Linked DNA regions of Drosophila melanogaster. The protein of the gene in region 2 purifies or fractionates together with the protein of the main gene of each other region. This does not show direct contact. Each region holds a gene or a part of one and is shown on either strand. Other genes may lie near its edges.

Region 1 (5,296 bases), on a different chromosome or scaffold from region 2:
TATTCATCTTATTTGTAAGCACTTGGTTACTTCTGGTCTTTGTTATTTACTTATTGTGTCACTGGGTTTTTTATGATTTACATAAATGTTTATTGTAAGTTAATAAATTTAAATGCCTGGCTTGTACGTCCTCAACATTTTTCACATTACGCTGTCTCACTAAACAGAAGGTTTATTGTGACTTTGTAGGTCCAGGACCGACTCCGTGAATGGATCAAATATCATGCGGCACGGCATTCATGGCACTACTTCATTCAATGTATATCCTATTATAAAGTTGCGTGGGCTTGGCACTGCGTTTGGCATTTCCAGAATGTGGTATAAAGGTGTTTATAACGTCCTGCGAAGTCCCCTCGCAAATGAATGCGATATTTGGGACTTTGTTGGCATTTATGTATGTATGTCATGAGCACCACACACGCGAACATATGCATATTAAACACAGTATTATTAAACAAAAAGAACCTCCTGAAACTTTGACACTTTTCGATTCCAATTAGCAAGTGGCGGGCGAGAACAATTGAATCAGCTAATTGTTCCACACACATTTGTGTGGGTAATTTACGTGAATGAAAAATTATTTTCGTACAGCACGTCTCTTGTCTTCTTCGGGAATATAACGAATATAAAATTTCAGGGGATTACAGCATCCCTCTGACGGAAAGCGAAGTCGGCGGACGCGAGTGTTCCACTCAACTCTCGTGTGCTGTTTCAAAGTTTTCTCTGAATCCTTAAGCTTTTTCTGGGAAGCGAGCTTTTGTCTGTGTGCCGAGAGTGAGGGTAAATTAATTTGCAACAACTAAGTTAGCAAAATGCGAACCCAATTAAGGATTGTATCATTGAAAGCATTCTCCACGCTGCAGTTTTTCCTAAAAAACAACAAAAAACTGCAGCACCGAAATTAGGACAATGGACATGGAAGTCCATTTTAATCTCGATGTGTACATATATCGGTACATCATTTCTCGGAAGGGATCCACAGGTTACTTTTGTTTATCATTAACCTGGCATTCCTAAGTCGCGAAAGCTTTTTACCCTTTTATCAATATCTTATTAATTATTAAACAAAGCAGCAAAGATTATATCTTTTTTTTACAATTGCTTTTAGAATTTTTTTAGTGAAATTATTTTAGGTTTCTTACATGTCTTACTGTTTGTCATCTAAAACTGTTTAAGTACAACCCTAAAGAAAATAACAGCAGTTCAATGCTTTTTGTAAGCGGTACAGGATCTTTAAGTGCAGCATTCATTTATTTACGACTCTTTCGAACAACCTGCCATTTAATCAACAGGTTCCGGCCATTTAAACGGAATTTAATAAGGGTGTTTTGATCACGATTCAACCTAGTAGGGTGATGCCAGTGAGTTTTGCATTACTGACCATTTTGTCGTGGACCACGATCGTTAAATGTATGACATGCCGAAAGATCGACTGTCAGTACCATCCTTACATGAATGCAGGGTGGCAACGCCCTAGCATATTTTAGTATTTTTGATTTTGCTGGAGTAATTGGAACACTTGAGTGATGTGAAATTCACATCAAGAGTAAGTTCGTAAGATCGTATAACAAAAAGCTTATTTAAGAAAAAAAGTAGTGCAATTAGAAGAACTTTGTTTTTATTATAAGGGTAAGACCCTTTTATAGTCCATCAAACCCATTGATGGATTATAAGTTTTTAATGTTCTAATAACAACCCTAAGTGAAACATATTTCACAAGCAACAAGTTGGAAACGCAATGAGGAGGTTCCCCTTTTCAACGTATTTCGCTTGCCTTTCATTGCAAAGGATAGTACTATACTAATAACCGATGAAGATCGATATGTTTTACTGATCGCAGTGAGCAAGAGATATAACTCCGATGACGGCATGCTGAACTAGTTTTTTTCTGCCATAAGGTGTAACTATCTGGTTCACATAAATGCTTTGTCCACGCCGGTTAAGTGGCAAACGTGTGCAACTTCGAGTATACTTTTTTAATAGTTAATTTACATTACTCCATGAAGTGCTGTGCCGTTTGTATATAACCAGAATTCCGAGAATAGGCGTAAGTGAAAACTTTTGTTCTCGAGCTGATCGTACATAGCCATGCATGTACATGTACATAAGTACATAGTGTGAAATGAACGAGTTATTTCTGAGCAGGTCGAAAAAATATGTAAATAATGTAATGTGCATATGAATAAGTCAAGGTATTAGGGTTATATGCTATACTCTAGTGCTCCCACAGGACTAAACACATATGCCCGCAGTGTGCCCATACTTGAGCAAATACTTGAATTAAATGTGAAAAGAAGGTTGCAACATACATATGTATGTATGTACTTATGTACGATCATTTCCTATTGTACGCAGTGTTCCCATATCGGAGTTACCCAAAGTTCCTGATAAATCGGCACACATAAATGGCTTGAGAGTGCGGCGATCCATAGAATCCATAGCTTTAAACGGAACGTATGGCCGATATAATGGATCTTTTATGCTCGGAAATCATAGTCTACGAATCAGATCCATCATTGTATCGTTTGAACAAACGACAGCAGCAAATGTCCTCACCGGCGATCATTCGGGATCAATCATCGATATGTTCATCCTTGGGGGACGCGGAATCCGATTCCCATCCGGATGCCCAGAACAATGCCGTAGTGTGCAATATGAAGGAGCTGGTGTATATATACGCGTCCGTGGACTCGGCTGCGAAAAATCCAGAACAATTGGAGCCGCCTCCGCCACCTCCACCACCGCCGCCACCACCACCGACAGCGACCCAATCAATCCAAAGTTATCCGCGTTACATCAGCCAGGAGCCACCGACGTCACATTGCCAACGACTCGACGAACGCCTGACCACAACAGCCGATCCACCCGCAACCGACAACGTGAACACTGCCATCGGGGATCCCACATTGTATTCGGATCGGTGTCTGGAGAATTTCCTCAAGGTCGAGGAGAAGCACCACAAAATTCCCGACACGTACTTTAGCATCCAGAAGGATATTACGCCACCGATGCGCAAAATTGTCGCCGAATGGATGATGGAAGTGAGTAATTAAACGAAATGTAGATACAGCATCCAAATCATATCAAGCTAGCCGACTGTGATATACGCATTATTTATAATCTGTTAGAAAATATTACCAAATAGATGGAAGTTTCCAAGAACTTCATTAATTAGTGTTTGTTTTAGTAGTCCTTATCGCACACCCATTACAATATTTTGACTACCCTTTTCGTTCATTAATTGAATACATGTTCACAGGTGTGTGCCGAGGAAAATTGCCAGGAAGAGGTCGTATTACTGGCATTAAATTACATGGATCGATTTCTTTCGAGCAAATCAGTACGCAAGACCCAGCTACAAATTTTGGCCGCAGCTTGCCTCTTACTGGCTTCAAAGCTCCGTGAACCCAGCTGTCGTGCTCTTTCGGTGGATCTACTCGTTGTTTACACGGACAACAGCATCTACAAGGATGATTTGATTGTAAGTACCTTTCTCGTAATACAATACCTTTCGGTGAACATGCGGTTTCATTTCATTCCCAAGAAATGGGAGCTGTATGTGCTAAGTCGCTTGGGCTGGGACCTCTCATCTGTGACTCCCTTGGACTTCCTTGAGCTTCTGATGATGCGCCTGCCGATAGGCAGCAAAAACTTTCCGGACATAAACATTGGCAAAGTGCGGGGACATGCTCAGGCATTTATATCGTTGGCAGCAAAAGGTAAGCCATATACAAAACAGTCCAACTTAAGTACTGACTTCCCACCCCTTCCTTTGAAGAACATAAGTTTGCCAAGTTCTCGGCCAGCACCATAGCTGCATCGAGCATAGCTGCGTCAATGAATGGCCTAAAGTGGCATCTGCGATCGGGACACAATCTACACTTCCTTTTGAGTCTGATGACCGATCTAACCAGCGTGGAGCAAGTGAGTATGGCAAGGGAGCAGTGTTGTTATGTACCACCACTCAATTGATTTTAAATGCACAGGCTCAGGTGCGAGATTGTATGCTGCACATGGAGGACATCTTTAAGGAGCACAGTCGGAATCTAGAGCCATTTCTAGTGAATATTGACCCAAAAGAAATGTCAACATTATACTACAAGAGGCGCTTCCAAATACATCAATCGCAGCATCTCTCGCAAATCTCAATTAGACCCTTGCCGCTACCGAAAGCTCCTGCCGAGTGCGTGGAGCAACACCAGCAGCAGCACAACTTTGGGTCCGCAGCGCCACATCGGACGCACACGTGCAAGATGCAGGCGCAGGCTCAGGCTCAAAACGAGATACAAGACGTTACATTTTGAGGTGTCAAATGATAGTTATGCATACATGATAGTTATGTCAGGCTTAAGTTGAAATTATATATAGGATCCAAATAGTCCGATCACTATAGGATTGGCCAATATCACACTATTTACATTTGAATCGATGTATTTTATATGTACGCAACTATTTTTTACCAAACTATGGGTTATTATTTTTAGCTATCCTAAATATTTTGTATAAAATAGTTTTAAATAATCATCATGAAACTTTGAAATGGATGAAACATAAAAACGAGACTGATTGTAAGCAGCAAAGCAACATTTTTTTTTTGTATATAAGCTTTTCGAAATCCTACACAGATAACCAAAAAAGAACGAACTATTAAATGCAATTTTTTTAAAAACCATCCAACATAAAGAGAAAAACAATATGTTAAAGTTAACTTTGGATAACAATTATATAAGTTGGCAAATAAATGATAGAAAAAAGCAATTTCTTCTCTGCCCTCTATGATGTATGTATATTTTCGTATAATTTACTTTCAGATAAATCGCATTAGCTTACCAAACGAATCCAAGTAGTTAAAGGCAATGCGAATAATTTAATTTTTCTTTATTTTCTTATTAACAAACGTCTATAAACAAGAATCGTTAAAGACCATAACCTTAACACACACATAATATTTATCATTGAATAGGTTTTTGTATAATTTCTTGCGGACATTGCGTTGCTAAATAATATTTGTTCGCATATAATTCATTGCTCTGAGGATAGTTTAGTTCATACAAGTTTTTAGAGTGAGTACATAGTTCGATTTTTTTTTTACCATCAATGTAGAAGCATTGTAACACTGCAATTAACGATTTTCCTTTTAGATATTTCTTCGGTTTTTGTTTTGAGCTTTAAAAAAATACTGGCTTTATTGCATTCCTGCACTCGTCCGCCTCCTGCACTGCGATTCGAAATATCATATATGTACGGATATATGTAATACCATCTGGAAACGAAAACTATGAAGCTAGCAGCACTG
Region 2 (7,803 bases):
CCCCACTTGAAATAAATTGCAGAAAAGACATGAGACCCATCTTATTGTATGCTGTATATATAATTGCATATATAAATGATTGTTGTACAAAATTTTGAAATTGTATAATGCATTCCTGAACTTTGTGTATCACATTTCGATTTGGAGGGCCTTCAAACGCCCTCGAGAATCGTTTCACATGTAATGGTCATCAGATAGTTGATCGGCAGTAGTATTCACACTTAACTTACGACTACAAACAAATTAAGGTATTCTTTATTCCGGATCCGTATCCCCGGACACAATAACTGGACTGTCGCGAAAAAATAAACAAAATGCTTCACTACACTTAAAGGAACATTGGTAACAAGAACGAAGCGCGGCCGCAATGATCAGTCCACTGCCACTTTCACTTCCACATCCATAATCCATAATCCATAATCCATAATCCATTATCCATTATCCTTCTGGGCATCGAGACTATAGGGGTTCCTGCTGAAAGTAATCGTGCTCCAAACAGGCCAAGGCGGATGGTCGCAGGTGGAGGTCGTAGGAAAGCATTTTCTGCGGGCAAACATAGGGTATGCGTTAGTCTAGACCATGCAACAAGATATGTATCTTCATTTTCATACTCACATTCAACAGATCATCGGCGTACTTGCACAGGTGTGGGCAAAAGTCTTTTGGTCTCTTTGGATGCCGCTGGGGAAAGTGTTCCAGGGCCACGGAAATGGTCTGTGGCCACTGTTGCTCGGTGGGTCTACCGGTCAGTCTGCGTGAAATCGCATAAATGTAATTAAAAATCACCGATTTCAATGGCAGTATTTGTGCACTCACTCGAAGATGCGGTCCAGCTGATTCTTTTCGGAGGTGCCCGGGAATAGGGCGCGCCGATTGAACATCTCGAAGATGATGCAGGCGGCACTCCAGATGTCCACGGTGCTGTTGTAGGGCTGGGCGAGCAGAACCTCGGGTGCGCGGTACCACAAGGTGACCACCACGGAGGTGAGCTTCATCTCCGAACCGTAGGTCTTGGCCAAGCCAAAGTCGGCGATCTTGAGGTGGCCCTGCGAGGAGACCAGCAGGTTTTGCGGCTTAAGATCCCGATGGATGATACGGTGTGAGTGTAAGAAGTCCACACCGGTCAGTAGTTCCCTTGACAAGCGCTGCAATAGGAAATAATTTCATATACCATTTTCTGAAATTTTGATATCATTTTGAGACCCACCTGAATTGTGGGCGGCGACATGCCCGATTTGGGAAGTCTGTCTATAAGATCCGAAAGATCCTGCTCCACATGTTCGAAAACCAACAGAATCAGCAATTGGCCGTCGCGCTCCAGAAACTGGCATACTTCGTACAGTCTGAAAGAGAGGGGAAGTGCAATCTTTGTATGTACAAATTGTTTGATTTTGTGTGCGACAGAGAGCGATGTATGGGGGAAATGTTGAGAGATATAAAAAAAATGTGTCATAAAATGCTGCTGGTTGTGGTGCGCCAATACGCCATTGGCCATACTTTGTTCGTTTCGGGAACTACGCGAAGCACTCGAGACAAACACATGCGCACATGGCGATCAAAGAGCCAAAGAGAGCGTCCAGTAAGAGAGGCTACAGATCGTTTTCGGACAGAGGCAAAACGTAAACGTTAGCAGAGCAGATTAGCATTATGTTATGTTAGCATTATGTTAGAATCAGTTCGGGCAGTTATTTTAACATTGCCTTTGAATTACTTAAAAGGCACAGTTTTATTGAAACCTTCTACTGTTACACTTGCTTTAGCAACTGGCACATTGGGTTTTTAAAAATACAGATAAATACAAGAAACTTAATTTGCCATTGATTTATTTCTTGTACCCCTCCAACACTTTTGGCTTCAAACAAAATAACAGCTGCACTTTGTAGCCATTTGCAACTTAACTTAACATTCTGTTGTGCGAGATCTCTCTCTCTCTCTCTCTCTCTGTCGATCTCTTTGTACTGTATTCGCGTCGCGCTCTCACGCTGCTAAAGTGCAAGCGAGTGCGCACATCGATAACGCGCGACAGCAACATGTGGTTATCGAGCTGCTCTGTTAATTCAAATTCCTAACGGCCGCCGCAAACAAACATAATGCCAATACAAAATCGCCCACATTTGCGAACTGCAGTGATCAGTTATCAGCGGGAGCGGATCGACTTGCTTCAGACTTACTTGACTTGACTGGCATATGTCAGAAGCGAGGGCGTTCGCCGGGGGCAAATCGTCGGAATATTACGGCTATAGCATGCACAGATAAACACAAGCGCGCTGACATTGCGATGCGGCTCTTTACAAATGAGTTTGGCAAATAGCTTTGGCGCCGCCACTTGGCCCCAATGGCGGGTGATAACACCCCTCATATACAGCTAGCTAGCTATAGTTCTACATAAAGTACTCAACTCCAAGGCCATTTAGAAGCCCACTGCCCTTGTGGCAGCGTGTAAATCACCCATACTCACTTGACAATATTCGCATGATTGCTGGCATTCAGCTGCTTCAGCAGCGAAATCTCCCGCAGCGTGGACATTGGCACACCGTTCTCGTTCAGCGATATCCTAACCTTCTTCAGCGCCACTATGTTGCCGGTGATCACATCGCGGGCTCTGTAAACCGTTCCATAGGCACCTGAAAAGTGGATCGAAATTGTACATCAAAATGCTTACAACGGGAAATAAATGCGAAAGACAGCCGAAAATAGAATAAAATAAAGTCAGCTGTGCCGATAAGATAAATGGCAGAAATCAGAGAGGCGAGAGAAAGAGAGAAGGTGCCACTTAGCTTCTTCATATCATTATGGTGTATTTATACTTTTCATATTCAACATCGTATTTATAGCCCTTACGATTGAAGTGACTTGATTTATTTGCCTTGTTCGATGAACTAACTGTTTATAATGATTGAATGAATAGACAATGAATGCATTTAGCCCAAAAGAATCGTATTGCAATGCATGCAATAATTGCATATATTAGAGACTATATTATATGCACTCAAAATTAGTCAAAATATTGCACGAAATTCAGACTAATTTCCTCATGAAACTGTTGCTGTCTCAGGTACAACGTGATCTTAATTTCTACATGTTCACGGGCAAAGAAAAACGACAAGAGACGAGCAAAATTCCCAATCAGAATCAAATTCTGGCATGCCAGAGAAATGTCACCGAAAATTTATCACCCGTACGGACAAATGGACAAATGGACAAACGGACGGACGGACGGACATGCGTGGGGGGTAGAAAAGCTAGAAGGCACCGGCTATTTCGGTTGACACTGACATACAGAAACAGCAGATATGTACTGATACACCCGAAATAAACGCAACTTGAGGGGGGGGGGGGGTGAATTTGGTTTTCCGTCCCTTTGTCACCGTCTCTAGACCACCTGGCTTATGAACTGTGCCGCTGTTGCTACATTCAAGTACAAGGCCGTGAGCTCGACTCGTTTTTGAACGTCGGCAACTGGTCTGTCCAATTGGAATTGTCAAAAAAATATACAAATATACAAGCAAAATAAACTCGAAAAATTGCGCAAAGAAAACAACAAAGCAAAGCACTATGGGAAATTTACGCACTTTATCTGGCCGAAAACCGATTAATATATGTAATATTAAATGCATGCATTTAGTTACAACGGTGACTACTGTTAGGCAATGCAAAAAAGTTAATTGAATGACTATCTGCAAACTAAAAAATATATATTATATATCATTAAAAATATGGGCTAGTGTAAGGCAATGCAAAAAAAGTTTGGAGTTAGTTTGGCCACAAAAAGTGGTCAAATTTTCCATAGTACAAAGTAGCAAAAATGAGACTGAGCGAAAGCGAATAATAATTGAATGAATGTGCACAGAAAGGCAGACAGCCGAAAGTTTGAGTGTATGTGTGTGTGTGTGCGTTGTATAACAGATGAAATTGTGCGGACCCATGACTCGCACAACACCCAGTAACAATATCCATCATTAGCATTCGCCTGCCCATGATGATCGGCATGATCGGTGACGTAATTGATTTGGGCTTTATTTACAGCAAACAAGCGATCGTAATTACTGACCACAAAAAAAAAAGACCATGAGCCACTTGTCAGATCATCATGGATGTGAGATCGGCAGAAACACGTAGTCCGCCGAGAGTGGACCTAAAAGTATGCAGGTAGAAGGTGTAGGATCCAATACAGGGGAGTTTTCCATCCAATATTTCCCCTTTTCGCGGAATTTCCACGCTTAATTAGTAAAGGGGTAAAAAAACAACAACATTCCTCCAAGTGCACTTGTCATTTCAGCTTCATAACAATGTCGGAGCTCCCGATTGATCGTAAACAGTAGTGAAACCAAATAGCCCAGACTTTGTAAGCAAATTAAAGTAATCAAACGTTAACAACAAGCGACCAGCAAACGAAAGCCTCTCGTGCGAAGAGAGCCGGACCTATCCCAACAACAAAGCAACCGCGTCCCATTATTAAATCCCACCCAAGTCGCTCACCTTCGCCGATGATGTTGAGCTCCTGGTAGTTGAACGGATCGCCATCGCCGAACTTCTTCGCCTGGGACATTTTCTGCCGCTTCAGCTGGCGTACATATGACATTTAGCTGGATTTTACGGTTATTTGCGTATTCCTCTAATATTCCGGGTAATCGAAACCGTTAGTTGCACCAGCTGGAAGTGAAGGGGTGTTTTTTTTTTGGTTATCGATCGTCTGCATGTCACGTATCGATATGTCCTTGTGTCCCCACGCGATAGTTCACACAGATCGTAGCGTGAGAGGGAGAGTGCGAGTGCGTGAGAGAGAGAGGGAGGGCCTTACCTGATTTCATACCTGTTGCCTTTTCTAGATAACCCCAAAACTGGCGATAAAGACTGGTGTGACAGGTGCGCTAATGGAAGAAGTCTGGCTATATGCTCCGCTATGCTTTTCTATCTCCGAGAACCGAAAACCGAAACATATACATGGACAACTACATATGTATGTATGTATGTAGATGGCGGCGGTCGTTGAACCGCGTTTAATGTTTTCGTACATACTCCGTTTTTATGTCTAACCAATCGCAGAACGGCAAAGGCCAACACTAGTTATGACTTATTCATGTTATTCAGTGACGCTGCTCGCCGTCTCCGTTTTGCGGCTTCGTTCGTGCATCCTGTTGCTCTTATTCGAGCTTGACTGTGAACGCTGTACTGGTTATCTACTGTCGCGTTAGTTGGCGTGTGTCCACTATTCTCTCCTATCTAAAGTGCTACCACTTTTCTGTCAGTGCATTTTTTTTGCCCGAAAAATATACATATACCGCAAAAAAGAACCCGAATACAATGTATTTTGTTGCTGGCATTTGTCAATTAATTCTAATCGCGAGACAAGCGAAACAACAATAATAAGCGACACAGTCACAAAACTGGGTAGAAAGAGAGTGTCCAGAATTGTGAAAGGTATTACGAGGTATTACGAGCTGTATATTTGGGTCTAAAATACATAGTTATTGTTGCACCAGTTTTCGCCCCCTCTCTCTCCCTCGTCATCCCTCTCTCGCTCACCATTTGCGCTCTACTGATAAGGAAATTTCGGCTTCACTTTACTTTTTTTTCGGTGAACTTCAATGCCAATGTTGTCGTTTTTCTTTCAACCGTTGTGCGAAATATTAGTTAAATATTAAGAAAATGTGGTTTTTATTTGCGAAGACTCGAACACACACACAACGCCGCTAAGTGATTTCGCTTGAGAGATCGGTCTTACACACACACACATACACAAACACAAACGCACACACCGAGTGGTACACACACACAGGCGCAGGTATTATGTATACATATATGATTTTTATTCGCTTTGACGAAATTTTGGCATTTGTTGATAATCCAGCTAGAACCGCACGATAGGAGCAACGCGACGCGAATTTTCGGTGCGAACACGGTTCAGTTGCCGGCAGTCGCACTTTAATTAAGTTTTTAAAACGTCTTATAAATTTTTACCAATATTCGTAAGAGTTGAGTGATTTTGTGTTTTGTTGTTGGCACAGCTCTGGAAACTGTTTTAGATGGTCTACTTAACAGTGGCTTCTCTTCGCCTGTTATCGCCCGCTGTTAGCAAACAGACGGCCGCTAACATTGTGCTGTATACGTCCAATCGGTTAAACGGTTAATTTCGAAATTGCTGCCAGCGATCGTTATTGAATGTTATTCCAATTCGATAACGTAAGTGTTATTGTGTTATACTAATGTTATTGATTTCTGGGAATTTGATATTTTCAACTTGTAATAATGCCCAAATTTATTTTTTTTGCAATGTGAATTTCAGGCATTTATATATGTAACATATATAAATTACAAATAAATAAATAATAATAAACATAATGAAAATAATATTTGAAAAAAATTTTTATTACATACGATAAAATGTGAAAATTTTAAAACTGTCGTGGTCAACTACAATTGGTCGGCCATAATTAGTTAACTCCAAACATGTGTGTCATTGACTTTTAGCATTTTTAGGATTTGGTAAACTTAAATTTTTATAACCCTGCAAAATAATACAAAATTCTGGAATAAAATGTCTTAATGATCTAGATTGGCGGCATAATTCAATTTGTAACTCAATCCGGCGATAAAGTCACTCGTTGAATGTATAATTTATTGACATGAGTTGAATGCCAAAAGTCGCTCAACATTTTTTTGAGTGAAAGCTTGCTTACCGATTTCCAACGATCTGGCCGCACTGCCAATTTCGAAATCGAATCAAGGCATTCGCAGTGGGGCGCGTAAATTTAAAAACAATGTTGCAAATACATTGTGAAACCAATAAACGCATTTAACAAACCGCCTATCACAAATGTTACCCATTGGATTGGCGAAAATTTCCATGTTTTTTTTTGGGGAAAAAGCGCGATTAATTAGTAACGAAATCAAATTAGAGCACAGTGACGAAGTCAGCCGAGTGCTAATTACCACCAGCGGGTATCAGGCACCTAAATTATGCATGACGTACGCCTTTCCGGCTCAAAGTGAAAGGGCAAACAGCGAATGCGAATGCGAATGCGATTGGTCAGGATGGATGTGTTTTGTTGGGAAATGAAAATATCACTTTCCCAGACAGCCGGAACGTGCCCACCTTTCTCACCTTTGGTGGGCGCCAGTCGGCGATTGGCATTTGTGATTCAATTGCTGCAGCCCATCTTGGCCCACTTAGCACCTGGATGAGTCGTATTCCTTCGCGGAAGTCAACGCCCAGCCGTGTAGCATACCTCACCCAATTAGAACATATGCATTTCCGATTCCAAGCCAAACTGATTTCACAGAAAAAACTTTTCATGAATGAATAATGAATGAGTGTGCTATCAGGATTTCTGGGTATCATAATCGGCTTTGTCTTTCAACCGCCTGACAACTAATAATTTCCGAGGAAGCTGCCAACGGATTAGCCATTTAATTTGCATTAGTTTGTGTGTCTGGAACGTTGCCGGAATAATGGTATTATATGGTATACCGTTAGGATCCGGTCGAATCTGAAATTCACCGATCGGCAAATAGACGCAAGTCGCTGATAAGCATTTATATTTTGTTTTTCACTCTCTGACATTTTGTCGGCCTGTGACGAAGGCGCTTATCGGCGCTGGCGATTAATCTTATTGCGTTTCAAACCGGCTGCGAGCCAAAAAACTAATTAAATGAAATTTATTGTACAAATATTATGGTCAAAATGGCTTGGTTCTGGCTAAAAATACGCAAGAAAATGCCAAGCCAAACAAAGAGTCCAAATGAATCGCGCGTTCTGAGCCCGTTTTTTCTTCTCTATTTTTATTCTTTTTTTAATTCGGG

What was found. The genes of interacting proteins can lie anywhere in the genome.
Region 1: the proteins of Cdk4 (region 2) and CycD purify together in Drosophila melanogaster (affinity purification with western blotting, with the first as the bait; 2 studies listed by BioGRID). This does not show direct contact.

What each region holds. Positions count from the first base shown.
Region 1 is NC_004354.4:15,906,282-15,911,577, reverse strand, and holds CycD (cyclin D), read left to right. Parts: upstream 1-1,901; 5' UTR 1,902-2,468; coding exon 2,469-3,041; intron 3,042-3,259; coding exon 3,260-3,481; intron 3,482-3,544; coding exon 3,545-3,719; intron 3,720-3,778; coding exon 3,779-3,924; intron 3,925-3,986; coding exon 3,987-4,304; 3' UTR 4,305-4,756; downstream 4,757-5,296.
Region 2 is NT_033778.4:16,577,692-16,585,494, reverse strand, and holds Cdk4 (Cyclin-dependent kinase 4), read right to left. Parts: upstream 6,026-7,803; 5' UTR 5,962-6,025; intron 5,932-5,961; exon of another isoform or gene 5,569-5,931; intron 5,390-5,568; exon of another isoform or gene 4,802-5,389; intron 4,663-4,801; exon of another isoform or gene 4,654-4,662; 5' UTR 4,583-4,653; coding exon 4,480-4,582; intron 3,500-4,479; exon of another isoform or gene 2,625-3,499; coding exon 2,459-2,624; exon of another isoform or gene 2,126-2,458; intron 1,344-2,125; coding exon 1,208-1,343; intron 1,146-1,207; coding exon 817-1,145; intron 752-816; coding exon 616-751; intron 544-615; coding exon 460-543; 3' UTR 47-459; downstream 1-46.